Macaca mulatta: one gene and its partner. The protein of the gene in region 1 interacts with the protein of each later gene in a pairwise test. Links are inferred from orthologs where the notes say so. Each region holds a gene or a part of one and is shown in the gene's direction. Other genes may lie near its edges. The genes, in order: GSK3B and BCL2L12.

What was found.
Region 2: the proteins of GSK3B (region 1) and BCL2L12 interact in a two-hybrid assay, tested with the Homo sapiens proteins (2 studies listed by BioGRID and IntAct). The link is inferred for Macaca mulatta from reciprocal best matches to the Homo sapiens genes GSK3B and BCL2L12.

The regions. Positions count from the first base shown.
Region 1 is NC_133407.1:163,717,760-163,732,786, forward strand, and holds part of GSK3B (glycogen synthase kinase-3 beta), read left to right. Parts: intron 1-9,373; coding exon 9,374-9,567; intron 9,568-15,027. UniProt on the Homo sapiens protein: Constitutively active protein kinase that acts as a negative regulator in the hormonal control of glucose homeostasis, Wnt signaling and regulation of transcription factors and microtubules, by phosphorylating and inactivating glycogen synthase (GYS1 or GYS2), EIF2B, CTNNB1/beta-catenin, APC, AXIN1, DPYSL2/CRMP2, JUN, NFATC1/NFATC, MAPT/TAU and MACF1.
Region 2 is NC_133424.1:62,111,406-62,127,090, forward strand, and holds the start of BCL2L12 (bcl-2-like protein 12), read left to right. Parts: upstream 1-7,558; 5' UTR 7,559-7,693; intron 7,694-7,790; exon of another isoform or gene 7,791-7,910; intron 7,911-8,303; 5' UTR 8,304-8,311; coding exon 8,312-8,418; intron 8,419-8,628; coding exon 8,629-8,771; intron 8,772-9,892; coding exon 9,893-9,979; intron 9,980-10,061; coding exon 10,062-10,153; coding exon of another isoform or gene 10,154-10,202; intron 10,203-11,883; coding exon 11,884-12,156; intron 12,157-15,604; coding exon 15,605-15,655; coding exon of another isoform or gene 15,656-15,684; 3' UTR 15,685-15,685. Other genes in the region: IRF3 (interferon regulatory factor 3), read right to left, coding at 580-765, 2,160-2,275, 3,734-4,111, 4,208-4,388, 4,953-5,023, 5,108-5,279, 6,205-6,456.

The DNA.
Region 1 (15,027 bases):
TCTGTAGGACCTGTTTTACCTTTCCACTCTGCTTTTAATATTTTAGCAGAATTGTCTCATTTGATGCTTGTTCCCATTTGCAAATTATGATGCTGGGATAGACATTCCTAGGCTCAGTGGCTGGAGTGAAGAGATGCTAAATCCCAGGGTTCTAATGGATATCTTTCATAGCTAGTTCTGAAACCCTTGAAATGTGACCTCTTTTAGAAAGAAGTAGAACCTGTGGAGGCAAATGGGGAAAGTCATCACAAATGCTTCTATTGCTTAAGTTCTCTTACTAGAGCAAGGAAGTGCAAAGGTGGGGCTCCTGTTTCCTTTATTGAAATATGGTTATGCAGTAGAAAAACATAATTTTTGGTTGGACCCCAGACAGTTTTTGTTTTCCGTTTTTCAGTTAATTAAAATTGTGGAGTATAGTGGGCTTTTTGTGGTGGTGGTGTTAGAGATGGTCTTGCTGTGTCGCCCAGGCTGGAGTACAGTTGCATGATCTCAGCTTGCTACAGCCTCTGCCTCCTGGGTTCAAGGGATTCTTGTGCCTCAGCCTCCCTTGTAGCTGGGATTACAGGTGTGCATCACTGTGCTTGGCTAATTTTTGTATTTTTAGTAGAGATGGTGTTTTGCCATGTTGGCCAGGCGGTTCCTGAACTGCTGGCGTTGAGTGATCTGCCCGCCTCGGCCTCTCAAAGTGCTGGGATTACAGGTGTGAGCTACCATGCCTGGCTATTTATTTATTTATTTATTTAGAGACAGGGTCTCGCTTTGTCACCCAGGCCTGAATGCAGTGGTGCAGTCTTGGTTCACTGCAGCCTCGATCTCCCGGGCTCAAGGGATCCTCCCACTTTAGCCTCCTGAGTAGCTGGGACTACAGTGCCACCATACTCGGCCACTGTTCTTAAAATCTATGTTAGTTTATTAATGATCCTTGTTTTGTAAGTTAGACGTGAGATTTTGCAAGCAGCTTGTTTAGTGGAATTTTAAATTCAGAGTCCTTGAAATCTTTTTTTGGTGTTATGGTTTTGACTTGGATAATATAGGGAAGAGTCAGACTAGGTTTGAAATAACGTATGCTTTTTATCTTCTCTTGAGACAATTGGATTATAAAAATGTGTTCAATACCTTGGATTTTAACCTTTCTGGATCTCTTCATTTAGAGTTGAAGTTCAAAAGACTGATTCTGTTTTTAGGACTGCTAAGATACAGGTAAAGAAAATTTATTTTACAAATGAGGGAGAGAATAACTTATGGTAAGGTTTATGGTCAACTTGAAAAGTTGTAGTTAAGATTAGCATAGATTTTTTGGGGGTGGGGCATGATCATTTAGAACTCAGATTAGATTAAACTAGGTTTTCAGCAAATATACCTAAGATTTATTTTACTGAGGGGTGAGACTTGAAGGCAGAGTTTGAAAGCTTTGAAAACTGCTTTTTTGTATTGGCTTATGCTGGGATTTGTATGCATTTAAAGCATATATAATACTGCTGTAAATAAAAATGGTGGTGCTGACAAGATTTGAGTTATTTCTTTTCACAAGTGGTTTTGAATTTGGGGTGATTAAATCATGCCAGTTTGAGTGTTTTACCTTGGACCTAAAGACAGATGTTCAAGATAGCTGACCATGATAAATATAGACTGCCTGTATCTCACCGGGCTGTCTTATGAAGGAATCCTCATTGCTTTTGAATCTGTCATGAATGCCATCTTTTATTATTATTATTATTATACTTTAAGTTCTGGGTTACATGTGCAGAACGTGCAGTTTTGTTACATAGGTATACACGTGCCATAGTGGTTTGCTCACCCATCAACCCATCATCTACGTTAGGTATTTCTCCTAATGTTATGCCTCCCCTGGATGCCCATCCGCCACAGACCCTGGTGTATGATGTTCCCCTCCCTGTGTCCATGTGTTCTCATTGTTCAACTCCCACTTACGAGTGAGAACATGTGGTGGATGGTTTTCTGAGCTTGTGATAGTTTGCTGAGAATGATGGAATGATGGTTTCCAGCTTCATCCATGTCCCTGCAAAGGACATGAACTCATCCTTTTTTATGGCTGCATAGTATTCCATGATGTGTATGTGCCACATTTTCTTAATCCAGTCTATCATTGATGGACATTTGGGTTGGCTCCAAGTCTTTGCTGTTGTGGATAATGCTGCAATAAACGTTGTGCATGTGTCTTCATAGTAGAGTGATTTATAATCCTTTGGGTTATGCCGAGTAATGGGATTGCTGGGTCAAATGGTATATCTAGTTCTAGATCCTTGAGGAATCGCTACACTGTCTTCCACAATGGTTGAACTAATTTACACTCCCAACAGTGTAAAAGCATTCCTATTTTCCCGCAACCTCTCCAGCATCTGTTGTTTCCTGTTTAATGATCGCCATTCTAACTGGCATAAGATGGTATCTCATTGTGGTTTTGATTTGCATTTCTCTAATAACCAGTGATGATGAGCATTTTTTCATATGCTTGTTGGCTGCATAAATGTCTTTTTTTGAGAAGTGTCTGTTCATATCCTTTGCCCATTTTTTGATGGGGTTGTTTGCTTTTTTCTTGTGAATTTGTTTAAGTTCTTTGTAGATTCGGGATATTAGCCCTTTGTCAGATGGACAGATTGCAAAAATTTTCTCCCATTCTGTAGGTTGCCTGTTCACTCTGATGATAGTTTCTTTTGCTGTGAAGAAGCTCTTTAGTTTAATTAGATCCTATTTGTCAATTTTGGCTTTTGTTGCCATTGCTTTTGGTGTTTTAGACATAAAGTCTTTGCCCATGCCTGTGTCCTGAATGGTATTGCCCAGGTTTTCTTCTAGGATTTTTATGGACCTCGGTCTTATGTTTAAGTCTTTGATCAGTCTTGAGTTGATTTTTCTATAAGGTGTAAGGAAGGGGTCCAGTTTCATTTTTCTGCATATGGCTAGCCAGTTTTCCCAGCACCATTTATTAAATAGGGAATCTTTTCCCCATTGCCTGTGTGTGTCAGATTTGTTAAAGATCAGATGGTGGTAGATGTGTGGTGTTACTTCTGAGGCCGCCGTTCTGTTCCATTGGTCTATATCTCTGTTTTGGTACCAGTACCATGCTGTTTTGGTTACTGTAGCCTTGTAGTAAAGTTTGAAGTCAGGTTGCATAATGCCTCCAGCTTTGTTCTTCTTGCCCAGGATTGTCTTGGCTATGCAGGCTCTTTTTTGTTTCCATATGAAGTTTAAAGTAGTTTTTTCCAATTCTGTGAAGAAAGTCAGTGGTAGCTTGATGGGGATAGCATTGAATCTATAAATTACTTTGGGCAGTAAGGCCATTTTCACATTATTGGTTCTTATCCATGAGCATGGAATGTTTTTCCATTTGTTTGTGTCCTCTTTTATTTCGTTGAGCAGTGGTTTGTAGTTCTTCTTGAAGAGGTCCTTCACATCCCTTGTAAGTTGGATTCCTAGATATTTTATTCTCTTTGAAGCAGTTGTGAGTGGGAGTTCACTCATGATTTGGCTGTTTGTCTGTTATTGGTGTCTAGGAATGCTTGTGATTTTTGCACGTTGATTTTGTATCCTGAGACTTTGCTGAAGTTGCTTATCCCCTTAAGGACTTTTTGGCCTGAGACGTCAAACAGAGACACTTTGACTTCCTCTCCTCCTGTTTGAATACCATTTATTGCTTTTTCTTGCCTGATTGCCCTGGCCAGAACTTCCAATACTATGTTGAATAGGAGTGATGAGAGAGGGCATCCTTGTCTTGTGTCGGTTTTCAAAGGGAACGCTTTCAGCTTTTGCCCATTCAGTGTGATATTGGCTGTGGGTTTGTCATAAATAGCTCTTGTTATGTTGAGATACGTTCCATCGATACCAAGTTTATTGAGAGGTTTTAGCATGAAAGTCTGTTGAATTTTGTTGAATGCCTTTTCTGCATCTATGGAGATAATCGTGTTTTTTGTGTCGGTTCTGCTTATGTGATGGATTATGTTTATTGATTTGTGTATGTTGAACCAGCCTGTCATTCCAGGGATGAAGCCAACTTGATCGTGATGGATAAGCTTTTTGATGTGCTGCTGGATTCGATTTGCCGGTATTTTATTGAGGATTTTCGCATCAGTGTTCATCAGGGATATTGGTCTAAAATTCTCTTATTTTTTGTTGTGTCTCTGCCAGGTATCATTTGGTATCAGGATGATGCCGACCTCATAAAATGAGTTAGGGAGGATTCCCCTTTTTTCTATTGATCGGAATAGTTTCAGAAGGAATGATACCAGCTCCTCTTTGTACCTCTGGTAGAATTCAGCCGTGAATTTGTCTGGTCCTGGACTTTTTTTGTTGGTAGGCTATTAATTATTGCCTCAATTTCAGAGCCTGTTATTGGTCTATCCAGAGGTTCAACTTCCTGGTTTAGTCTTGGGAGGGTGTATTCTCCAGGTATTTATCCATTTCTTCTAGATTTTCTAGTTTATTTGCGTAGAGGTGTTTATAGTATTCTCTGATGGTATTTTGTATTTCTGTGTGATCGGTGGTGATATCCCGTTTGTCATTTTTTATTGCATCTATTTGATTCTTCTCTCATTTCTTCTTTATTAGTTTTGCTAGTGGTCTATCTATTTTGTTGATCTTTTCAAAAAATCAGCCTCTGGATTCATTGATTTTTTTTTTGTTTTGAGGTTTTTTTGTGTCTCTGTCTCCTTCACTTCTGCTTGGATCTTATTTATATCTTGTCTTCTGTTAGCTTTTGAATTTGTTTGCTCTTGCTTGTCTAGTTCTTTTAATTGTGATGTTAGGATGTTGATTTTAGATCTCTCCTGCTTTCTCTTGTGGGCATTTAGTGCTCTAACTTTCCCTCTAAACACTGCTTTAAATGTGTTCCAGAGATTCTGGTATGTTGTGTCTTTGTTCTCATTGGTTTCAAATAACTTATTTCTTTTTGCCTTAATTTTGTTACTTACCAAGTAGGCATTCAGGAGCAGGTTGTTCAGTTTCCATGCAGTTGTGTGGTTTTGAGTGAGATTCTTAATCCTGAGTTCTAATTTGATAGCACTGTGGTCTGAGAGACAGTTTGTTGTGATTTCTGTTCTTTTACATTTGCTGAGGAGTGTTTTACTTCCAGTTATGTGGTCAGTTTTAGAATAAGTGCGATGTGGTGCTGAGAAGAATGTATATTCTGTTGACTTGGGGTGTAGAGTTCTGTAGGTGTCTATTAGGTCTGCTTGGTCCAGAGCCGAGTTCAAGTTCTGAGTATCCTTGTTAATTTTCTGTCTCTTTGATCTGTCTAATATTGATAGTGGGGTATTAAAGTCTCCCATTAGTATTGTGTGGGAGTCTTAAGTCTCTTTGTAGGTGTCCGAGGACTTGCTTTTTATAAATCTGGGTGCTCCTGTATTGGGTGCGTATATATTTAGGTTAGCTCTTCTTGTTGAACTGATCACTTTACCATTGTGTAATGGCCTTCTTTGTCTCTTTTGATCTTTGTTGGTTTAAAGTTTTTTTTTTTATCAGAGACCGGGATTTTTTTTTTTTTGCTTTCCATTTGCTTGGTAGATCTTCCTCCATCCCTTTATTTTGAGCCTGTGTATGTCTTTGTACATGAGATGGGTCTCCTGAATACAGCACACTGATGGATCTTGACTGTTCATCCAGTTTGCCAGTCTGTGTCTTTTAATTTTGGCATTTAGCCCATTTACATTTAGGGTTAATGTTGTTATGTGTGAATTTGATCCTGTCATGATGCTAGCTGGTTATTTCACCCATTAATTGATGCAGTTTCTTCTTAGCATTGATGGTCTTTATAATTTGGCATGTTTTTGCAGTGGCTGGTACCAGTTGTTCCTATCCATGGTTAGTGCTTCCTTCAGGAGCTCTTGTAAGGCAGGCCTGGTGGTGACAAAATCCTAGCATTTGCTTGTCTATAAAGGATTTTATTTCTCCTTCACTTATGAAGCTTAGTTTGACTGGATATGGAATTCTGGGTTGAAAATTCTTTTCTTTAAGAATGTTGAATGTTTTCCCCCACTCTCTTCTGGCTTGTGGGGTTTCTGCCGATGGATCCGCTGTTAGTCTGATGGCCTTCCCTTTGTGGGTAACCCAACCTTTCTCTCTGGCTGCCCTTAACATTTTTTCCTTCATTTCCACCTTGGTGTATCTGACAGTTATGTGTCTTGGGGTTGCCCTTCTCGAGGAGTATCTTTATGGTGTTCTCTGTATTTCCTGAATTTGAATGTTGGCCTGCCTTGCTACGTTGGGGAAGTTCTCACGGTTAATATCCTTAGGAGTGGTTTCTAACTTGGTTCCATTCTCCCCATCACTTTCAGGTACACCATTCAAACGTAGATTTGGTCTTTTCACATAGTGCCATATTTCTTGGAGGCTTTGTTCATTTCTTTTCACTCTTTTTTCTCTAATCTTGTCTTCTCACTTTATTTCATTAATTTGATCTTCAATCACTGATATCCTTTCTTCTGCTTGATTGAATCGGGTATTGAAGCTTGTATGTGCTTCACCAAGTTCTTGTACTATGGTTTTCAGCTCCATCAGGTCATTTAAGCTCTTCTCTACATTGTTTATTCTAGTTAGCCATTTGTCTAATCTTTTTTCAGGGTTTTTAGCTTCCTTGCAATGGGTTAGAACATACTTCTTTAGCTCGGAGAAATTTTTTGTTATTACTGACCTTCTGAAGCCTACTTCTGTCAGCTTGTCAAACTCATTCTGTGTCCAGTTTTGTTCCCTTGTTGGCGAGTAGTTGTGTTTCTTTGGAGGAGAAGAGGTGTTATGGTTTTTGGAATTTTCAGCCTTTCTGCTGTGTCCCCATCTTTGTGGTTTTGTCTACCTTTGGCCTTTGATGTTGGTGACCTACAGATGGGGTTTTGGTGTGGATGTCCTTTGAGTTGATGTTGATGCTATTCCTTTATGTTTGTTAGTTTTCCTTCTAACAGTCAGGTCCCTCAGCTGCACGTCTGTTGGAGTTTGCTAGAGGTCCACTCCAGACCCTGTTTGCTTGGGTATCACCAGCAGAGGCTGCAGAATAGCAAATATTGCAGAACAGCAAATATTGCTGCCTGATCTTCCTCTGGAAGTTTCGTCCCAGAGGGACAGCTGCCTGTATGAAGTGTCTGTCGGCCCCTACTGTGAGGTGTCTCCCAGTTAGGTTACACGGGGGTCAGGGACCCACTTGTAGAGGCAGTCTGTCTGTTCTCAGAGCTCAAACGCTGTGCTGGGAGAACCACTGCTCTCTTCAGAGCTGTCAGATAGGGACGTTTATGTCTGCAGAAGCTGTCTGCTGCCTTTTGTTCAGCTATGCCTTGCCCCCAGAGGTGGAATGTAAAAGAAGCAGTAGGCCTTGCTGAGCTACGGTGGGTTCTGCCCAGTTTGAGCTTCCCTGCTGCTTTGTTTACACTGTGAGCATAGAACTGCCTACTCAAGCCTTAGCAATGGCAGACGCCCCTCCCCCCACCAAGCTCCTGCATTTTAGGTTGATCTCAGACTGCTGCCCTGGCAGTGAGCAAGGCTATGTGGGTGTGGGACCCGCCGAGTCAGGCATGGGAGGGGATCTCGTGGTCTGCTGGTTGCGAAGAACATGGGAAAAGCACAGTATTTGGGCAGGAGTGTATCACTCCTCCAGGTACAGTCACTCATGCTTTCCCTTGGGTAGGAAAAGGAAATCCCCTGATTTCTTGCGCTTTCTGGGAGAGGCGACGCCCTGCCCTGCTTCGGCTCGCCCTCCGTGGGGTGCACCCACTGTCCAACCAGTCCCAGTGAAATGAACCATGTACCTAAGGTGGAAATGTAGAAATCACCTGTCTTCTGCATCGATCTTCCTGAGAGTTGTAGACCAGAGCTATTCGGCCATCTTGGAAGCAACCATAAATGCCATCTTGCAAACGAAGGTGTTAATTGGTCGCAGACATTCACTGGCTTTTGTGTATATTAATACTTCTGTGAATTTAAATGGATATAAATATTGGTTATAATATCTTATTAGTGCATTTGGATATTCATTTATCTAGCAATTTATATTTCACAGAGAAAAATACTCATAAATATTATATTACTTTTATTAGGTTAGTTGGAATTCAGTTAGTATTTTAAAATGAAAATTGTCATAATGGAAGAATAACAGGAAAAAGTAAAAGTCCAATAAGTGAGCCTGAGGACTTATATTGTACTGAGAATTGGTTTTAGATTTGTCAGGGAAGAGAGAAGAAATAGTAGACATTTTTGTGTACATTGAAGTCACTAAAAGAACAATGTAAAGCTCTTTTAGATCAGATACTAGGTAGCATAATTCAGAGAATCGATTAAGAATTCAGAAAACAACATGGTGACTGTGGACTGTGCCTGGTCAAGTAGGAGGTGGCTCTTGTGCCTCAATTGAAGAAAGCCTTTGAATTGCTACTAGGGATGAGAGAAGGCAAAAAAGGGAAGAAGAGAGCTATGAGTAAATAGAGACCCTGGAGCCAGTAATCTGCTTGTAATTGGGCCTCAGTTCAGAATGGATTGGATTATTTAAGTTTTATATCTGTTAACCCCAAATTAACATTCTTTTCTTAACCTGAGCTTTCTCTGAGAGGTCTTCTACTTTGTGAAAAAGATTATTCAGGGAACTTAAAACTCAAAGCCTTACTTTCCTAAACGCAGAAGGATCTGAAGAGAGTCAGAATTATTAAACATTTTTATTTGCACACATTTTATTTTCAAGTAAAATAAGATCTTGAGAAAAGCCCTAAGACCTTTTAGAATTGGATGGATAAGGTCAGACTTTTATGGGCTCACAATTTGCTATTTGACCATGGGCAAATCTAACATTCTTCCTATTACCTATAATGTGGGAACAGTACTGTCTACCTCATAGGATTGAAACTAAGCATTGTGTTTGGTCTGTGGAATGACTAAATACATGGGAGTTTAAAAAATGACTTATAATCAAAACAAGTAATTGAAGTAATTACATGTGATAAACGAAAAATAATTTGTAGTAAAGAATATGGTTTATTTTGGCCAGGCACGGTGGCTGATGCCTATAATCCCAGCACTTTGGAGGCCAAGGAGGGTGGATCACCTGAGGTCAGAAGTTCAAGACCAGCCTGGCCAACATGGTGAAACCGCGTCTCTGCTAAAATTACAAAAATTAGCCAGACGTGGTGGCAGGTGCCTGTAATCCCAGCTACTCGGGAGGTTGAGGCAGGAGAATTGCTTGAATCTGGGAGGCAGAGGTTGCAGTGAGCCGAGATTGTGCCACTGTACTTCAGCCTGAGTGACAAGAGTGAGACTCCATCTCAAAAATAAAGAAAGAAAAAAAGAAAGAAAGAATTTAGTTTACCTTGTATATGTTGGCAATTTTCTCTATTTAATTCCTTATAGTTCTCATTAAAAAAAATTTTTTTTTCCTTTCTTCCGTTAGGAGACAAGGATGGCAGCAAGGTGACCACAGTGGTAGCAACTCCTGGGCAGGGTCCAGACAGGCCACAAGAAGTCAGCTATACAGACACTAAAGTGATTGGAAATGGATCATTTGGTGTGGTGTATCAAGCCAAACTTTGTGATTCAGGAGAACTGGTCGCCATCAAGAAAGTATTGCAGGACAAGAGATTTAAGGTAAAACGTCTGGTATTTCATGTGTTTTGTTGCTGTCATAATACATGTACCATAAATGATTATTTTTTGGTTGTTTCCTTTTGCTTCAAATTTCTTCTATTGTGCACATTTTTGTCCAGCTCAAGCATTACAATGATTTTATTTCTAGTCGTGTATTTTGTAGAGAGAAAATTCACTGAAGATTGCAGTATTACTTTTGTAGTCATTATAAATGACATATATATATAAATCCTGTGAAAGGTAAGTTAAAGTTTCTTAATTTATACTTTAAAAAGCGACCTGTCCCCACCCTTGTACTGTGTTGATGTAGACCAGAGGAACACTGCCTGTAGCATATAAGTATTTTGTGTAGTTTCCTATGCTTCCTTTCTTGAAAAAAATTTTTTTAATTCATGATGCAACTTGTGTTAGTCTATTTTTGCATCTCTATAAAGGAATACCTGATGTTGAGTAATTTATAAAGAAAAGAGGTTTAATTGGCTCACAGTTCTGCAAGCTGTACAGAAAGTGTGGTGCAGACATCTGCTTCTAATAATTGTCTCAGGAAGCTTCTAATCACGGGCAGAAGGTGAAGGGCGAGTAGGTGCATCACATGGTGAGAGCTGAGCCAGAGCATGAAGGGGGAGATCCAGACTTTATTATTATTTTTATTGTTGTTATTATTTTGTAGAAACAGGGTTTTGCCATGTTGTCCAAGCTAATCTCAATCTCCTGAGCTCAGGCAATTTGCCTGTCTCAGCCTCCCAAAGTGCTGGGATTACAGGCATGAGCCACCATGCCCGTCCCCAGACTCTCTTAAATAACCAGATCTCCTGTGAACTGAGTGGAAACTCACTCATCAACAAGGGGATGGTGCTAACCCATTCATAAGGGGTTGACCCCCTTGATCCAATACCTCCCACCGGGCTCTACCTCCAACACTGGAGATTACATGTCAACATGTGGTTTGGAAAGGGGTAAACATCCAAACCATGTTACAACACTATTCATTTTTCTTGTAACTTTTTTTTTTTTTTTGCTATCTTCCTTTTTCTTGTCCTTCTGCCTCTAGACACTAGCAATCCCAAGGTTCAGTTCTTGTCATCTCTTTTCTTTTTCTGTACCTCATTAGGGGAGCCTATGCATGGAAGCTCAGATGTTATCTCTATGTTGTGGTATAGCAGAGAGAGCCAGAAGACACTGGCTGCTGTAATTAAGCCTCTGCCACTATGCAGCATTGCTCCCTTTCCTACCCTTCCCACCTCTGCAACATTTTATTGAGAGCTTCCTATGTGCTAAGACCTATGGTAAACATGAAGGCATATAATAATAATAAGTGATCACTGTTCTGTTCTAACACCAGTTATACCACATTCTGATGTCCATCTGCTGTAAATGTCTAGAACGTTCTAAAGAGTTTTAAAAAATTCAGTTGTTTTTGTTTTCAGTTCTCACCTCTCCCCCAAGTACTAGTCTTATGTTGTCAAATGCCCACTGGATCTTGATATCTGAATGTTGTACTGCTATCTCAGTTTGGCAAGCCATCTTATCTAACCACGGCTTAACTTTTAAGACTCAATGGAAATCTCTCCTACTGGTTCCCAGAACTTTGGATTTGCTTTTTCTTTTTAATGGTTTTATAATTCACTGTTATTCAGACTATTCTATTCGCTCATCCCTAATATCCAGTCATTGTTTAACTTGATTTTCTTTTTTCCTCATACTGTCTTGTGGCTGTGTCTCTTCTTTTTCTTTCTCTTCACTACTATTCTTGTCAGACCCTGTCATTATTTGGCTTAACCACTTATAAACGTCTACCTTAGTCTTCTCCTTTCTAATCTCTTCTGCATACTAAGACTAGAATAATCCCAGAGGTTTCACTGGTCATGTTGTTTCTCTTGCCCATAAATCTTCTATGGCTCTTCATAGTCTAGAAAGTAAAACCTGCCTAGTTTACTTGTGTACTCAGAAACTTCCATAGTCTTCCATTTTCTCCAGATACTTAACTTCCAAACTTTTTATATTATTGGCCTTGAAATATGTTCTTCTCTATGACCACTCTGCTTTTATTCAGCGTTTCTATCACTCCCATTCTCCTGCTATGTAAATTCTGTGCATCTGTGAAAACTCAGGTCAAATTCTTCCTGTATGAAACTTACCAGATGATTCAAGTCAGCTACGGAGATCTTGCTGTTCTAAATTCCTTGAGCCCTTATTGTCCATAAACTAGGAAATTCCACATTTTTTATGACAGCATCTCTATTTTTTAAATATTTGTCTCCTAAATACCCACACATTCCATTTTGGGGGATTAGTAGTTGATGATAGCAAATACTTGCTTATTATATGTATTTTTTGACATGTGTAGTTTTACATAATTCTTACCATTAGTACTGTGTGATTGATACTGTTATCATTTGGATAAGGAAGCCTAAGTACAAAGAAATTTTAAATTAACTTGTCCAGGGTCACACAGTTGGCAAGTGGACGGATGGGCAAAGATTCGAATCTGGACAGACTCTGCAGTGCCTTAACACATTTTATCCTCACTGTATCAAACCCCTCTACCCCTTCTCTCTTTCTCTCACAGTATTAATCCTCTTTCTATATCATAGTATCAGATTCTCAGTGTCATACCTCTTTCTATCAAAGTATTTAAACCACACCCTCTTTCTCCTTCTCAAGAAAGAGAGAGATTGGTTTTATTTCATTCTCTCATGGTTGCATTATATTTTATTGTGTGGATATACCCTAATTAGCCATTGTTCAATTGATAGCTATTAAAATTTTTTTTCCCTACCAAACAGGGTATATATATGCCTTATCAGAATACAGTTTATAAAAGTAGAATTCTAGGGTTGAAGAGTAGGAGAGCACTTTAAACCTTGATATAGGCTGCCTTCTAGTTAGATTTTATCCATTTAAATGTACCTTATTTGAATATGAGTAATGCCCATTTCCTGTGTAGCCTTTAGATATTAGGAGTATTTTTATGTTTTTCAATTCTGTAGGTGAAAAATTATTTTTGTTACTTTCTTTTCTGTTTTAAATTTTCTGTAGAGATGCATCTCACTACATGGCCCAGGTTGGTCTCGAGCTCCTGGCCTAAACTGGTTCTCCCTCTTGGCTTCCTAAAGTGGTGGGATTATGGTCTGAATCACCATGCCTGGCCCTGAAAAATTTTTTTAATTTACAACATCATTTTTCATGTTGTGACTCTTTTTACCCCCTTTTAGAGTGTGTGTCTTCCTTACTCATTTGTTAAAACCCATTTAAAATGTAATAGTGTAGAGCAACAAAGATTTTATTATCTCAGTGCTTCTGTGCGTTGGAAATTCAGGCATGGCTTAGCTAGGAACCTCTGGCCCAGGGCCTCTCACCAGACGGTAATCCAGGCATCAGCCAGGGCTGCAGTCTCATCTGAAGGTTTGTTTGAAGGAGGAAATATCTGTCCCCAAGTGTACTGTGTGATCGTCGGCAGACTTTGGTCCCTTGCCACACGGGCCTGTTCACTGGGCTTTCTGAGGTCTTGCCAGTTAGCTTCCCACATGGCAAGGGATCCACTGGAAAAATAGTAAGCCCAAGACAGAAACCAAAAGTTTTTTTCTAACCTAATATTGGTGAGGTGATTAGACAAGGGTGTGAATACCAGGAGGCAGGTATCATTTAGGGCCATCCTAGAAGCTGCCTCCACAATAATATGAACCATCTGTGAGAAAAAATTATTTGTTTGTGTTGACTTTGCTTGTGATACCTTTTGCTTTTCAGATATTGTTGATTTGGGCTTTGGCATAATGCTGAGAAAGGGCCTGTTGTATCTGATAAATAATGTCATTTTTCTCTAGGAATTTTATTTTGCCATATTTCTTTAATCTTTCTGGGGTTATATTTTGGGATGTAGTATAAAGTAGTAATATAAGTTAACCTTTCCCCAAGTAGTAGGTCATTTGTCTCAGAAACCATTTTTATAAAGTTTATCCTTTTCCCACTGGTGGGCAAATGGCATTTTAAAAACCATGTATTATGTTACCGTATATACACTGGATTTTCTTCTGGGTTTCCTTTTCTTTTCCACTGATTTGTCCATTTTGGCTTATGTAACACTTCTCTGATGATGAGAACTAACAGCGTAGTTTGAGTGTTAACAAATGAGTATTTCTCTTAATAAATCTGTGTATCAAGTATCATTAGCCTGTGATGTTTCTCCTGCAACCTCAACAAAACAAAAACAAACTTTAGATTTGATTAAAATCGTGTAAAATTTACAGATTAGTTGGACAGAATGTACAGATTTACAATATTCAGCCTTCCCATCCAGAAATGTGATAATTCTCTGCATTAATCCAATTTTTGATGTAAAACTTTATAATTATGTAGGTTTTAAACTTTTCTTACTTATTTTATCTAGTTATGTGTAGTAATTTTTTTGTCGCTCTTGGGAATGGGAGTCTTTCTCCATGCAAATACATCTTATATGTAAGTACAAGTCTTCCTCCATGTAAATACGTCTTGTTTTAACCATTTGAACACTGCCTCCTCCGTTTGTTTTGAACTTGGGCATCTTCTAGATGCATTTAATGTGCTGATGCCCTTTAGGAGGGTACTTTACTATGTTGCTTTTCTCAATATTATTACATGTTCATTATAATTTTCTTCCAGCCTGGGGGACAGAGGGAGACTCCATCTCAAAAAAAAATAAAAATAAATAAATTATTTCTGGCTTAGGCCGGGCATGGTGTCTCATGCCTGTAATCCCAGCACTTTGGGAGGCCCAGGCGGGTGGATCACAGTGTCAGGAGATCAAGACCATCCTGGCCAACATGGTGAAACCTTGTCTCTACTAAAAAATACAAAAATTAGCTGGGCATGGTGGCTGAGGCAGGAGAATCACTTGAACCTGGGAAGCGGAGGTTGCAGTGAGCTGAGATCACACCACTGCACTCCAGCCTGGTAACAGAGCGAGACTCCGTCTCAAAAAAAAAAAAAAAAAAATTATATATATATATATATATATATATATATATAAAATTTCAGGCTTAACATTGCCATTACTATAAATAATTTCCTTTTATCCAGATTTCCTTTTATCCAGATTTCCAAATACTAATATTTATCACACTCACTTTTACAGTTTCTTCCTCTCTCTATATATTATTTTTATGTTTTTCAGGTAAGGTCTTGCCATATAACCCAGCTGGAGTGCAGTGGTATGGTCATGGCTACTGCAGCCTCCAACTCCTAGGCTTAGTGATTCTCCTACCTCAGCCTCCCAAATAGATAACCATAGGTGTGCGCCACCACATCCAGCTAGTTTTGAATTTTTTTTTTTCTGATAGAGACAATGTCTTCCTGTTTTGCCCAGGCTGGTCTCAAGCTCCTGGGCTTAAGTGATCCTCCTGCCTTGGCCTTCTAAAGTACTGGGATTATAGATGTGTGTGCCTGGCCGCACATATTATTTCCTGAAATGTTTGAATGCAACTT
Region 2 (15,685 bases), on another chromosome or scaffold:
CCGAAGGGTGAGTCAGGGCTGCACTGGCTTCTGCCAGTTTCATCACCCAGAACTGAGGCCTAGCCAGGAGAGGTGACAGTGCCCAGGGTCACCAGGCAGGCAGGCTTTGCAGGCTCTAGGGTGGCTGCAGAGCCTCTTTACCAAGGCCCCCTCCAGCCCCATGTAGAGGGAGCCTGAGCCTGGAAGGAGAAGGGCCGTTTGCCCACACTGTTCATAGGCAAGGCAGGGACCTGGGTTCTGGCCAGTCTTTGTGTTTCCTACCCTGTGACCTTTGTGCCTCTCCCAGCCTGTGTCTTGGTCTACAAAATGGGGGCAGCCATCAGCCACCAGGTCCCTGGGCAGAGGTGAGGAAGTGTCAGCTGCCCCCTGCAGTGCTTGGTCCTCATGCATTGAGCACCTGAGTTGTGCATAGCTGCACAGATGGGTAAACTGAGACCCTGAGCAGGAATAACAACCAGCTTGGGTCAGAGGACACCCAACACCAGACACACACAAGAGGTGATCATAGCAGGAACCAGTTTATTGGTTGAGGTGGTGGGGGGTGGGGAGGTTAGAGGCCACACCATGAGGAGCGAGGGCTCAGGTCTCCCCAGGGCCCTGGAAATCCATATCCTCCACCAGGTCCTGCAGGTAGGCCTTGTACTGGTCAGAGGTGAGGGACAGTGGGTGGCTGTTGGAAATGTGCAGGTCCACAGTGTTCTCCAGGGAGGAGGCACCCCCTACCCGGGCGATTTCTACCAAGGCCCTGAGGCACGTGGGCACAACCTGCGGGGGAAGTGGGGACAGGAGTCAGGGAAAACACCCGGCCAGTGTCCACCAAGGTAGGAGTCAGGGCTGGGAGAACTACAAGTCCCTGCAGCCCCCGCTGTAACCCAGGATGAAACACACACACACACACACACACACACCCACCCACCCACCCACCCACCCCCTTACCCCCTTCCTGGGACAGGAGTCAGGGAAAACACCCGGCCAGTGTCCACCAAGGTAGGAGTCAGGGCTGGGAGAACTACAAGTCCCTGCAGCCCCCGCTGTAACCCAGGATGAAACACACACACACACACAGGGCTGGGAGAACTACAAGTCCCTGCAGCCCCCGCTGTAACCCAGGATGAAACACACACACACACACACACACAGGGCTGGGAGAACTACAACTCCCTGCAGCCCCCGCTGTAACCCAGGATGAAACACACACACACACACACACACACACACACACACACACACACACACACACACAGGGCTGGGAGAACTACAACTCCCTGCAGCCCCCGCTGTAACCCAGGATGAAACACACACACACACACACACACACACACACACACTCTACAACTTCCTGCAGCCTCTGCTGTAACCCAGGATGAAACACACACACACACACACACACACACACACACACACACACACACACACAACTTCCTGCAGCCTCTGCTATAACCCAGGATGAACCATAGGCCCAGGGCTGCTGGGAGTTGTAGATTTCCCTCTACACACACACACACACACACACACACACACACACACTCATATGAGGCTAGAGTATTCCCAGATGTCAGGGCTGAGCAGTCTGTGATCTCAACTCGTGGGAGCCACAGCCATGGCCTCACAATGGCAGCTAAAACTTGAAGTCCACCAGCTTCGACATGGTTTAGAGCAGGGGTCCCCAACCCCCCACGGCCTGTTAGGAATCAGGTTGCCCAGCAGGATGTGAGCAGCGGGTGAGGGAATATTACTGCCTGAGCTCTGCCTGCTGTCAGATCAGCGGCAACATTAGATTCTCAGAGGAGCACGAACTCATCGTGAACTGCACACGCGAGGGATCTAGGCTGCTCCTTAGGAGAATCTAATGCCTGATGATCTGCAGTGGAGCAGTTTCATCCCCAAACCACCCCCTCCCTGTCTGTGGAAAAATTATCTTTCGTGAGACTGGTCCCTGGTGCCGAACAGCTTGGGGACCACTGGTTTAGAGAGTTCAAAGCAGGTTCTGCAGGTGAGGCCGTGGGAAGGAGCTCCCGGGGATGAAAAACTGGTTATTGCTGAGATCTTGGAAGTTGCAATCTTTTAGAGGGCCCTCTGGGAGTTGGAGTTCCTGGGAGCAACCTCTTCCCTCTGTAAGGCCACCCCTCTCAGCCCCAGGGACTCAGGTCTGCAGGCACCTTGACCATCACGAGCCTCTTGGTCCATGGCTGGTCCTGGGGCCATGATTCCCCCACACAGAACCAGAGGGCATAGCGTGGTGAGCGTCCACTTCCTTCTGTGAAGGTGATCAGATCTGGGGGCCCAGGAGTCTAGTCAGTGATGAGAAGAGGACCCTCTACACGCCCTTCCCCGTAAACTTGAATGGCAATCCCCACCATTTCCCCTGACCTAAGGCCCTCTGCTGCCTCGCCCAGAGGACTGCTTGTTTGGGGAAAGTCCCCATGATTCTGTTTGTATACTTCCTCCTCCTTCCCTCCCTCCCTCCCATCATGGTGGGGTTGTTGGAAGGCCCCCCACCCCCGCAAGCCCCCAAGCCTCAGCATTCACAACAGGCCCAGAGTAGGGGGCCCAGGCTTCCAAGGATGCCAGTGAATCTGGAGGAGAAGCTGGTTGGCATTCAGTCCCCTCTGAGGCCGCACTGTCCAACTGCAGCCATTAGTCATGTGAGGTCATTTCAGTTTAAATTGTAATCAATTAAAACGAATCGTAGGCCGGGCGCGGTGGCTCAAGCCTGTAATCCCAGCACTTTGGGAGGCTGAGACGGGCGGATCACGAGGTCAGGAGATCGAGACTATCCTGGCTAACACGGTGAAACCCCGTCTCTACTAAAAATACAAAAAACTAGCCGGGCGAGGTGGCGGGCGCCTGTAGTCTCAGCTACTTGGGAGGCTGAGGCGGGAGAATGGCGTGAACCCGGGAGGCGGAGCTTGCAGTGAGCTGAGATCACACCACTGCACTCCAGCCTGGGAGACACAGCGAGACTCCGTCTCAAAAAAAACAAACAAACAAAAAAAACGAATCGTGTCCTGGTGGCACTCGCCTCACCCAAGTGCTCGGCCCTTGTGGCTAGTGGCTGCTGTACCGGACAGTGCAGGTGACTGTCATTTCCATCATGGCAGAAAGTGCCACCGCACAGCGAAACCCTAAGGGACATAGCTTTCCTGCTATTGGTCTGTCCACCATCATTAGTTACGATAATGATGACAGCGGCAGCTAATTCCCCGAGCATGCTGTGTACTGGGCCTGTGTCTCACCCCAGTGCTGGCAGGCAGGTACAGAGAGGAGACCGTCCTCGGATTCCACGGGCTCAGGGCAAAGTCCTTTGCCTTGGGTTATACAGTGGGCCAAGGGCAGCCAGGGTCTGAATTCAGTCCTAATCCTGAGTTTTTGTTGTTGTTGTTTGAGACAGAGTCTGGCTCTGTCACCAGGCTAGAGTGTAGTGGTGCGATCTCGGCTCACTTTAACCTCTCCCTCCCTGGTTCAAGTGATTCTCCTGCCTCAGCCTCCCGAGTAGCTGGGATTACAGGCGTGTGCCACCATGCCCGACTATTTGTTTGTATCTTTAGTAGAGATGGGGTTTCACTATGTTGGCCAGGCTGGTCTCAAACTCCTGACCACGTCATCTGCCCGCCTCGGCCTCCCAAAGTGCTGGGACTACAGGCGTGAGCCACCGTGCCCGGCCAATCCTGAGTTCTTAACCACTGTGCAGTCTGCTTTCTACTGGGCAGGGCGAAGCCCCCATCTCACTCACCTACAATGAAGGGCCCCAGGTCGAACACGCCTCCTTCCTTGTCCTTGGGGACCTCGCCATCAGGCCCATGCCCGCTGTTGAGCAGCTCCTCGCTCACTGCCCAGTATGTGTGGCAGTGCCCCAGCCGCTGGGCCCAGAGCCGCTGCCCGGCCCGCCGCAGAGCCAGTCCCCCACCCAGGGAGCTCAGCACGTGCCTCACGTAGCTCATCACTCCCCTGTCTGTCAGGGACATGCCAGGGTCTGGCAGTGTGATTGGCCATCCAGGCAGCGTCCTGTCGCCCACTTCGGACCCCACCAGCCGCAGGCCCTCCGGGCAGGAGATGGTCTGCTGGAAGACTTGGCGGCCCCGGTAGAAGGCTGTCACCTCGAACTCCCACTCTGAGCAGTGGCAGCAGCCGTGTGAAGGGGAGAGAGATTGAGAATCAGGGGCTGCCGCCCAGACCTCAGCCCTCCCAGCCTGCAGCTGACACTCACCTTCCCCCGGCACCAACAGCCGCTTCAGTGGGTTCTCAGAGGGCTCCAGGTTTGGGAAGGGAGTGGGACTGTCCAAGCTGGGGCTCTGCAAGTGCTGAGGGGCTACAGCCAGGCTTGGGGGTCCTGGATCTGGCAGTGGGGCCAACACCATGTTACCCAGTAACTCATCCAGAATGTTTTCCTGGAGGGAAACAAAGAAAGAGAATCAGGCATTTCCATAGTCTTTTCTGGAGACTTCATATGGACCAGGTCTGTTCTCAGCAATGCAGGGAGGTCAGGCTTGAGCTCTGCCTTCAAGGGGCTTCCAGCATGGGGACAGAGCCAGCCATGGCATCAACAGCCAAACACTCTTAATGAACGCCAGGTGCTACCATTCCAACCCAAGGATCTGGCTCTATGCAGGTAAGACCTGGGCGGGGCAGGCTGGGTAGAATTTCAGAGGGGATGCTCCCCCAGCTCAGGCCTCAGCAGGATCAAGGTGAGGGAGTTTTCAGTTCCCAAGAGGCTGACAGCCCCCTGCCGAAGTCCATGAAATCCTGGGAAGGTGTGCTAGGGCCTTGAATGCAGGGTGAAAACTCGGAATTTTCTCCTGAGGAGACTGGAGCAGGAACAGACAGGGCCACCACTGGCTCAGGTAAGGGGCAGGCTGGAGGCAGGGAAGCGGGGGGATGGTCCACAGGGAGAGGACAAGGCCCATGGGGACACGACAGAGACTGAGGGGCATGAAGGTTGGGCACATTCTCACCTGGGTATCAGAAGTACTGCCTCCGCCATTGGTGTCCGGAGAGTAGTCTGGCTGGGAAAAGTCCCCAACTCCTGTTGAGAAAGGTGGTGAGGGGAGTAGGGGTGCCAGGAACCCTTGGGACCCCAGCCTCCCACATGAACCCCGATCTGGCAGACCTGAGTTCACAAACTCGTAGATCTTATGTGGGTCGTGAGGGTCCTTGCTCCGGTCCTCTGCTAAACACAACCCATCTTTGCGGTTGAGGGCAGAACGGAAATTCCTCTTCCAGGTTGGCAGGTCTGGCTTATCCCTCCCGGGAACGTACGCACCAGTGGCCTCGGCCCAGGCCTGGGGCAACAGTGGTGTCAGGATAGTGGGGGAGGACGACTTAGATCCTGCTCCTGGGGCCCTAACCCTGTCTCCTGGATCCTAACACCACCCTCTTTCCCTGGCAAGTTCTAAGTCTGCAAGTTCCATCCACAAATCCCCCCGTCCTATCTACCTCCATCCCCCACCTCGAGTTTTTAAAAGCCTTTTTTTCTTTTTGAGATGGAGTTTCACTCTTGTCACCCAGGCTGGAATGCAATGGCGCAATCTCAGCTCACTGCAACTTCCGCCTCCCTGGTTCAAGCAATTCTCCTGTCTCAGCCTCCTGAGTAGCTGGCATTACAGGCGGGCACCACCGCACCTGGCTAAGTTTTGTATTTTTAGTAGATAATTTTGTATTTTCACCAATGATTTTGTATTTTCACCATGTTGGCCAGGCTGGTCTCAAACTCCTGACCTCAGGTGATAGCCCGCCTCGGCCTCCCAAAGTGCTGGGATTACAGGTGTGAACCACGGCGCCCGGCCCAAAAAACTCTTCTTTCTAAGCCAGGCTTCCAAGTCCAACTTGGTGTCTAACCCCGTGCACCACCTGCCCCGCGACACCCTCTGTGATAACCCCGCCCCTCACACTGTTTACCACCTCTGGCATATACTAATTCAGTGGTTAGGAACCCCAGATTTGGGGCTCCAGGTCTCACCTCTGATGTTTCAAAAACCATCCCCCAGTATCTATCCTACAACCAAGAGCCCCGGCCCCTAGAGAGCCCCAAAACCCCAGGATTCATTTCCTTTGCGTACTAACCGGCTTTCCCGGTTTTATTGCCGTAACCGGGCAGCTCCAACCCTGCTTGCGTCCCACCATCAGTCAGCTGATCCGGCTAGCCCCGCCCCTCCCGTTCTAGCCCCACCCACCAACGTTGGCACGAGCCAGCCCCTCGGGCGATACCTCCGCCGTCTCAGCCCGGCCCGCTAGGAGTCCTTTCTGCCCCGCGCGCAGCTCAGGGTTTCCAGCGTCCCCGGTCGTCTCACGCACCTGGAAGATTCTGAAATCCTCCTCCTGTGCATCCTGCCGTAGGCCGTGCTTCCAAGGGATGCGGAAGCGCGTGCGGCTCTCGTTCACCCAGGCCACGCCCTCCAGTTGCCCCAGGTCCAGCTGCGACACCAGCCAGGGCAGGATCCGTGGCTTTGGGGTTCCCATGGTCCGGCCTGCGCGTATAGGGCATTTTCTGGGCGCGACCGGCCTCCCCCGGACCCACCTGGCCTGGAGTTTCCGCACCCAGAACCCTCCCTCTCACGGGCCACGGCACAGGTCCTTCACCCATATTTTCGGGGGTACAAACAGGAAACCTCCTCTTCCCATCCTCCCATCTTCCCGAGAGGCTCCTTAATCCGCTAGGGTTCCTTCCCATATCCATGGCATACCCTTCCCCAGTGTCTTCAGTGCAGACCCTCCACTCTCTCAATTCCGCCAGTATAGACCTCCTCTCTCCCCGACATCATCGAAAGCAAGTATCCCCACTTTCAGGGTAGCATCCTCTTTCCCTAGTTATTTCAGTGCAGAATCGATTCACGTGTAAGCCTCTATCTCCTGCTATTTACCCCAGTGTAGATCCCCTTCCCCAGTCCCCCTACAGAAGATCCCCCGAAACATTTCCAACACAGAACTTCCATCCAATTCCTCCTCGACTGCCAGCCCCCCTCCTCCAGGACAGAGCACGCCTCAGGTTTCGGGAGTGAACTACACCCATGTACGGAGTCCATCCTTCCCTCTGTAGAACCCCTCAGTGTAGACGCCTCCTGTTTTCCTCTTTCCTCCCTACTTTTTCTAGTTTTTCTCCAGCCGACCTCCAGCGTCGGCCACTGTAGCTCCTTCCTTGCTCCACTTTCCCCAGAGTACACAGCCTGCCTTTCCACTCTCCGTGCAGACCCATCCTGTTTCCCGCTCCTCGCTCTCGGACGCCACTAACGCTCTCCCAGGCTCTTCCGCGTTACCTACGATAGAAGCTCAGGGCGTGCAGGGAGCTGGCGCCCACCCCTGTTTTGGGGCTCCGGATAGCTCTCAAACTCGAGGCTGCGCACCCCCTTTCCCGTCAGCTGAACTCTAGACGCTGAGGCTTTCTTTTCGATCGACTTCTTGAAATAAAACCAACTTTATCATTCTTTGGGTAACACACCCCGGAGCCGAACGGACGGCCCGCGGGGCCCGGGGCTGTCCCCGCCCCTATGCCCTTTTTTGGGTTTCCGGCCAGAGGCATGCTGGGAGCGTCACATGCAAATTGAGCGTGCATCCAGCGTTCCGCCCTTTCTTCGTTGGGCCAGTTACCGACCCGGCCCAGTGCGCAGGCGCGGGAAAGTTGAACTAATAAAGTTTGTACAAGTTGAGTGGAGGCGGCGGCAGGTTGAGTGGAGGAGGCGGCGGTGAGGCCCCGGACCAGGTCAGCGGGGTGTTGACGAGGGGTGGGGTAAGGAGGGAAGAGGAGCGGGCCAGGATCCAGTAGTGGGCACCCCAGTCCCGCTTCTCCGACATCCAAGGGTCCAGGGTCCTCTAGATTCCAGCAGGAGTCGGGGATTTGGAACTACACCTCACAGCAGGCTGCGCGGCGAAGAAGCGCGGACCGAGGGGAAGATTTGCCCTGAAGCCTCCTGGGATTGGTAGTTCCCGATGCTTTAAGGGTTTCAGTAGTTTGGCATATGCCTCTTATAGAATCCAGGAGTTGGGGCGCTAAGCCCCTTCTTCCTGGGAGACCTAAGGGTCTGGGGCTCCAGTTCCTTTCTCTCTAAGACTCAGGAGTCTAGGACCCCAGCTCCCTCCTCCTTTAGACCCACGAATCTGGGCACCCAGCCCCCCCACCTTTCCTTGGATCAAAGAGTCTTTACTGACCCCTCTTTCGTCTGAGGACTCAAGAGTCTAGGCCCCTAGACCGACACTTTCCAAAGGACCCAGGAGTCCAGGCCTTCCTTGGGACTCACAAGTCCTGGTCCCCAACCAAGCCTCCACTTCTTGCTAACCCCTTGGAGTCCAGTCCCTAGTCCCCTCTCTCACAGGTGCCTCCATGGCAGGCTCTGAAGAGCTGGGGCTCCGGGAAGACACGCTGAGGGTCCTAGCTGCCTTCCTTAGGCGTGGTGAGGCTGCCGGGTCTCCTGTTCCAACTCCACTCAGGTAAGAGGAGTTGCCCTTCTCCCCCAGGGGCCAGCATTTGAGGCTCCCTCCTAACTCTTGCTCCTGGTCTCAGTCTGTCTCCTCTCTTTATATCTGGCTCTATTCTCTGTTTTGGAGAGAGGTCCTCAGCGGGGGAGGGAGGGAGTTGGGGAAAGAGCCTGCTTGCAGGGGATCTTTGGTGGGGTCACTCTCTGAAGTCCTCTTCCCCAGAAGCCCTGCCCAAGAAGAGCCAACAGACTTCCTGAGCCGCCTTCGAAGATGTCTTCCCTGCTCCCTGGGGCGAGGAGCAGCACCCCCGGAGTCCCCTCGGCCTTGCTCTCTGCCCATCCGCCCCTGCTATGGTTCAGAGCCTGGTAAGAGATTTCCATGATCGTCTATGAAACTGGCAGAACACGGGATAAGGTGCTAGTTTAAGATCACTCAGGGGGTGGCTGTGTGGAGTCTCTAGCATCAGCCTTCAGGATGGAACCATCCTGTCGTCTCCTCTCCCCAGTTAGATTTCTATCTGTCAATGCTGTGGGTTGGCTTTCAGAGAGCATTTGGTCCATCTGGTTGTCGTCTCTTTCCTTCCATAACTACTTCCCTGCCCCTAGGACTTTTGTAGCCAGGAATACCCCTGATAGAGGGGTAGGAGGGCTGGTTTTCAATTACATCTCCCTGGCTGTTTTAGTTGCGTGACTCTGGGGAAAATGCTTTCTCTTCCTTGCTCCCCTGTTTTTCCAATAGCAGAGTAGGAATTGGGGAGGAGGTCACTGGACTTGATCAAGGTGACCCACAAGTTTCCCCGTAGGTGTGAACCTGGACAGACTAGTAATGGCTGCTGCAAGTGCTAGCTTGAAAAGGAGTTCACAGCTGGGGAGAGGAAGTGTTTTGATCAATTGGTGATGTCTGAAGTGGGTGAGGGAAGGGGGATACTAACAGTAGTGTCTTGTGTTTGCCTTCCTTGGATGAGATCATCTTCGAGGTCTAGTTCAGCTCTGACAGTTTTTTGGAGACAGAGCTCTGTCACCCAGGCTGGAGTGCAGGGTTGCAATCTCGACTCATTGCAATCCCCACCTCCTGGGTTCAAGTGATTATTGTGCCTCAGCCTTCCGAGTGGCTGGGCTTGCAGATGCACTCCAGCATACCAGCTAATTTTTGTACTTTTAGTAGACACGGGGTTTCTCTATGTTGGCCAGGCTGGCCTCAAACTCCTGGCCTCAAGTGACCCTCCCGTTTCGGCCTCCAAAGTGCTGGGATTACAGACATGAGCCACCACACCCGGCCAGCTCTGACATTCTAAGTGCAGTTTGAGGATCTGATAAAATGAAAAGTACAAAGGTTTTGGCATTTTTTACCAAGTTTTCTCACTGGGACTCAGCTTACCCCATTATAAAATGGGAATCATTGCCACCTGCCACGGTAGTTGGGGGAAGGAGAGAATCCATAAGTTTCCAATGTCCTGGAAACCTGTCATTAACTCTTTTCACCCCAGGCCCAGCTACTCCAGACTTCTATGCCTTGGTGGCTCAGCGGCTGGAACAGCTGGTCCAAGAGCAACTGAAATCTCCACCTAGCCCAGGTGAGGCACGGAGGAGCCCCAGAAAAGGATGGGAGTAGGAGGATAGGGTTCTGCCCCCAGCCAAATTCTCTTCTGCCTCCAGAATTACAGGGTCCCCCACCCACAGAGAAGGAAGCCATACTGCGGAGGCTGGTGGCCCTGCTGGAGGAGGAGGCAGAAGTCATTAACCAGAAGGTGATGGGCGTCTGTCCCACCCCTTGGCAAGGACAAGAGTTGCGGAATGGTGGGGCACTGGGATCAGAAGCTGGATCTGTATTTTCTTTGGATGGTCAGGTGGAAAGAGGCTGGGACAAGGTTTCAATGAAGGGTTGAGGCTGGGCGTGGTGGCTTATGCCTGTAATCCCACCACTTTGGGAGGCCTAGGTGGGCAGATGACTTGAGGTCAGGAGATCGAGACCAGCCTGGCCAACACAGTGAAACCCCATCTCTACTAAAAATACAAAAATTAGCCAGGTGCGGTGGCACATGCCTGTAATCCCAGCTACTTGGAAGGCTGAGGTGGGAGAATCGCTTGAGCCCAGGAGGCGGAGGTTGCAGTGAGCCAAGATTGCACCACTGCACGCCAGCATGGGTGACGAAGAGAGACTTTTTTTTTTTTTTTTAATACAGAGTTTTGTTCTTGTTGCCCAGGCTGGAGTGCAATGACACAATCTCAGCTCACCGCAACCTGCGCCTCCTGGGTTCAAGCGATTCTCCTGCCTCAGCCTCCCAAGTAGCTCCCAATAGCTGGGATTACAGTCATATGCCACCACGCCTGGCTAGTTTTGTATTTTTAATAGAGACGGGGTTTCTCCATGTTGGCCAGGCTGGTCTTGAACTCCTGACCTCGGGTGATCCGCCCACCTCTGCCTCCCAAAGTGCTGGGATTACAGGCGTGAGCCACTGCGCCCGGCCGACTCTGTCTTAAAAAAAAAAGGCCGGGCGCGGTGGCTCAAGCCTGTAATCCCAGCACTTTGGGAGGCCGAGACGGGCGGATCACGAGGTCAGGAGATCGAGACCATCCTGGCTAACACAATGAAACCCCGTCTCCACTAAAAATACAAAAAAATTAGCCGGGCGTGGTGGCGGCGCCTGTAGTCCCAGCTACTCGGGAGGCTGAGGCAGGAGAATGGCGGGAACCCGGGAGGCGGAGCTTGCAGTGAGCCGAGATCGCGCCACTGCACTCCAGCCTGGGCGACAGAGCGAGACTCCGCCTCAAAAAAAAAAAAAAAAAAAAAAAAAAAAAGAATGGTTGAACGACAGGAGTATGGTTAGGGTAGTACTGTACTGTAAATTAGTGGTTTTAATTGATTGTTAGAGGGGTGTGGCCTAAATTCAGAAGATGTGGCCATCAAAAACATCTAGAAGAGATTGACCAGGTTGGGGAAGTAAGGGAATGAATGTGGGGATGGGGGAGTGTCTAAAATCTTACTGAGCATAGAAGGGGCCTGGCTTACAATGTAGGGGAAAATGTACTAACAGAGGAGCCCTGGCTTGTGGCTGTGTCCTGGAATCTGATTGGCTCAGGAGCTTGGGCAAGGCACATGGTCCTCTAATACTGATTGAATGGTAGAGGGCAAGATTGTTGTAGACACTAGGCCCCTGGGAAAGGCTACCGGGGGTGTGGCTAGATTAACTCCATTACAATAGAGATTGGGCCTGATTGGCTCTTGAGGCAAGGGCAGGGGCGTGGCTTAGCGACAGGCGTTCTAGGCCCGTATCCCGAGGGTGGGGGTAGTTTGGCAGAGACCTTAGAGTCCGGCTTGATTGGCTAATATGGATGAGGGGTGGCCTAGAACTTTAGCGTCTAGAAAGATCCTGAACCGGGAAGTCACGCCTCCCAGCCCCCCCCCCCCCCCCCCCCCGCCCCGTTGGTTGGCCCCAGGGGCGCTGCTGACGCAGACCCTGCCTTTTCCACCCTACAGCTGGCCTCGGACCCCGTCCTGCGCAGCAAGCTGGTGCGCCTGTCCTCCGGCTCTTTCGCCCGCCTGGTGGAGCTGTTTTGTAGCCGGGAGGACAACTCTCACCCAAGCCGAGCATGCCCCGGGCCGCCGCCTCCTTCCCCGGAGCCCCTGGCCCGCCTGGCCCTGGCCATGGAGCTGAGCCGGCGCGTGGCCGGGCTGGGGGGCACCCTGGCCGGACTCAGCGTGGAGCACGTGCACAGCTTCACGCCCTGGATCCAGGCCCACGGGGGCTGGGTGAGCCGTTGAAGCCTCTCTCTGCGGGCCTCATTTTACCCAACTGTCTTGTGATAGAGGTTCTTAGGTTCCCCTCAGACCTCAGGTATTCTCCCAGCTCCACTGCGTTCGTTCTGTGTTGAGCCCTTGCTGTATGCCAGGACTGCAGTGATGAGTGCGGATGCTATGCCTGGCGTCAGCGACTGGGTACACTAATACTGTGAGCGTGAAACCAGTGACTGAGATTACTCAGGGAGAGGCAGGGCGAGGTGGCTCATGCCTGTAATCCCAGAACTTTTGGAGGCCGAGGCAGGAGAATCATTTGAGGCCAGGAGTTCAAGACCAGCCTGGACAACATAGTAAGACCCCCATCTCTACAAAAATTGAAAGTAATTAGCCAGGGTCAGGTGTGGTGGCTCACGCCTGTAATCCCAGCACTTTGGGAGGCCGAAGCAGGTGGATCACCTGAGGTCAGGAGTTTGAGACCAGCCTGGCCAGTGTGGTGAAACCCCGTCTCTACTAAAAAAGTACATAAATTAGCCGGGCTTTGTGGCAGGTCTCTGTAATCCCAGCTACTCGGGAGATTGAGGCATGAGAATCGCTTGAACCTGGGAGGCAGAGATTGCAGTGAGCTGAGATCACGCCACTGCACTCCAGCCTGGGTGACAGAGTGAGACTGTTGTCTCAACAAAATAATAAAAACTGGGTGTGGTGGCTCACGCCTGTAATCCCAGCACTTTGGGAGGCTGAGGTGGGTGGATCACTCGAGGTCAGGAGTTTGAGACCAGCCTGACCATGGTGACAGTCTGTACTACAAATACAAAATTGGCCAGGCGTGCTGGTGCACACCTGTAATCCCAGCTACTTGGGAGGCTGAGGCAGGAGAATTGCTTGAACCTGGGAGGCAGAGGTGGTAGTGAGCCGAGATTGTGCCATTGCACTCTCCAGCCTGGGCAACTGTCTCTCAACTCTTGAGACAGAGCGGAACTCTGTCTCAAAAAATAAATAAAAATTAAAAAAATTAATAATAAATTAGCAAGGTGTGGGAGCTCACACATTTACTCCCAGCTACTCAGGAGGCAGAGGAGCCAGGAGGATCACTTGAGCCCAGGAGTTCAAGGTTGTGGTGAGCTATGATTGCGCCACTGTACTCTAGTGTGGGTGACACAGTGAGACCCTGCCTCAAAAAATAAAGTAGGGACAGTAGTCATGCTACCTCAGAGGGTCACTCTGAGGGTTAAAATGGGGTCAATCTGGTAAGCTGTCTGTGCACTGCCTGGCATGCGGGCATTTGTTGATGTGGTTTTATGTGTCTACTCGCTGCCGTTCCAACAACGCCTGCCAGGATGCCCTCCCGGGGAAGCCCCGCCTCCGTCCTCTGCCCCTTCTGGTGGGGTCTGGTTTCACCCCCAACAAGGCCTTCCCAGGTCCCCATTGACTATCACAGCCACCTCCACACCCCCCCACCACCCTCCTTCCCGCTTCCTGCTCTACTTTTCCTTCCATAGCAATTTGCGCCTTCTAACAGCTGGTGGAATTGACTTGTTTTGCTTATCTTCTGGTTTATTTTTCTTTCCTGGCATCTCCTGCCTCTAACACATCAGCTTCAGAAGACCCAAAAGTCTTCCCCGCTCTTACTTTATCTCCAGTGCCGGTTTCAGAGTTGGATTGGGCTCCAGCATACTGGCCCTGTGACTTGGTGACTGTTGCAGTCTCCCTGAGTGACACTTTCCCCCCGGTCCAGTGAGCACCGTCTCATTTACCTGCCTCGGGGGTCGCTGTGGGTATTCACCGAGAGAGGGACACAAGCCAGGCTCTGGATGGAACCGGTTTCCCTGGCAGGAGCTGGTCAAGTGTGTTTGAGGAGCAGGGAGGAGGAGGCCAGTAGGGCTGGAGCAGGGTGAGTGGGCGAGAGCTGAGAGGAGGAGAGGCGCTGGGCCAGCCGGGACCCTGTGGTCACGGTGAGTGACAACTGGGACTTTGACTCCGGGTAAGCCAAGGACTCTGAGCAGCCTAGATAGTCGCTGATTTAGGCGTTAACGGGTGCCCTCTGGCGGCCAACTAGAGACAGACTGCTATCAGACCCAAGTCAGGGGCAGTGGAGCATGCTGGATTTAACTTAGCGGTGGAGCTGACAGATTTGGCTAATGGGCCAGATGTGGGGACAGGCCAAAGGATGCTGGCCTAAGCAGCTGCAGGGCGACATCTAAGTTCCCTGAGAAGATGGGGGACAGATGGGGGCTATGGGGGTGGGGACAGGGGCGATGGGGGTGAGGAGCAGGACTGGAGATGGTCCAGTCTATAGTAAGATCAGAACACATCGCACATGTTGAGGGGACTGGATATAAGTGTTGGGCTCAGCAAAGAAGCTCATTTATTTTATTTTATTTTATTTTTTTTTTTTTGAGACGGAGTCTCGCTCTGCCGCCCAGGCTGGAGTGCAGTGGCCGGATCTCAGCTCACTGCAAGCTCCGCCTCCCGGGTTCACGCCATTCTCCTGCCTCAGCCTCCTGGGTAGCTGGGACTACAGGCGCCCGCCACTGCGCCCGGCTAGTTTTTTGTATTTTTTAGTAGAGACGGGGTTTCACCGTGTTAGCCAGGATGGTCTCGATCTCCTGACCTCGTGATCCGCCCATCTCGGCCTCCCAAAGTGCTGGGATTACAGGCTTGAGCCACCGCGCCCGGCCTTTATTTTATTTTTTGAGACGGAGTCTCACTCTGTTGCCCAGACTGGAATGCAGTGGCACGACCTTGGCTCACTGTAACCTCCGCCTCCCGGGTTCAAGTGATTCTCCTGCCTCAGCCTCCTGAGTAGCTGGGGTTACAGGCGCACACCACCATGTCCAGCTAATTTTGTAGTTTTAGCACAGATGGGGTTTTGCCATGTTGGCCAGGCTGGTCTCGAACTCTTGGCCTCAAGTGATCCACCTGCCTCGGCCTCCCAAAGTGCTGGAATTACAGGCATGAGCCACCACGCCTGGACAATTTCTTTAAAAAAATTTTCAATAGGATCGATAGCAGGCAAGCTTTCTTGGTGGGCCAGGTCCTCTGCCAGGGATTTCAATGGAATGATCCCATTTAAACCCACTACAACCGCATGGGGCTCTTACTATCCTCATCTTGTGGGGGTGGAGAGGGAAAGTCCCCAGCGTGCAGCGTGTTGGAATCTGGATTTGTACACGAAACCACCGCTCTGAATTGTTCAAATCCCAAGACACTTCCCCGTCTCTGACTCTGTCCCTCGACTCTTCACTCTGTCTGGGTCTCTGCCTGACCCCACTCCAGTGCCTTTCCTCCTCCTGCCAGGACTCTGTCCCCCTCGTCCCTGTGCCCTTCTCTGGGTGTCTGTCCCTCTCTGCTCTCTGGTTCCTCGCCTTCCTGTCTCTGATCTCACAGGGCTGATGTGGACGCTGCTGTAGGGGGGAAATACCTGCCCTGCTCACAGGGCTCTGCCACTTTTCCCTTCCAGGAGGGCATCCTGGCCGCCTCACCCGTGGACTTGAACTTGCCATTGGACTGAGCTCTTTCTCAGAAGCTGCTACAAGATGAC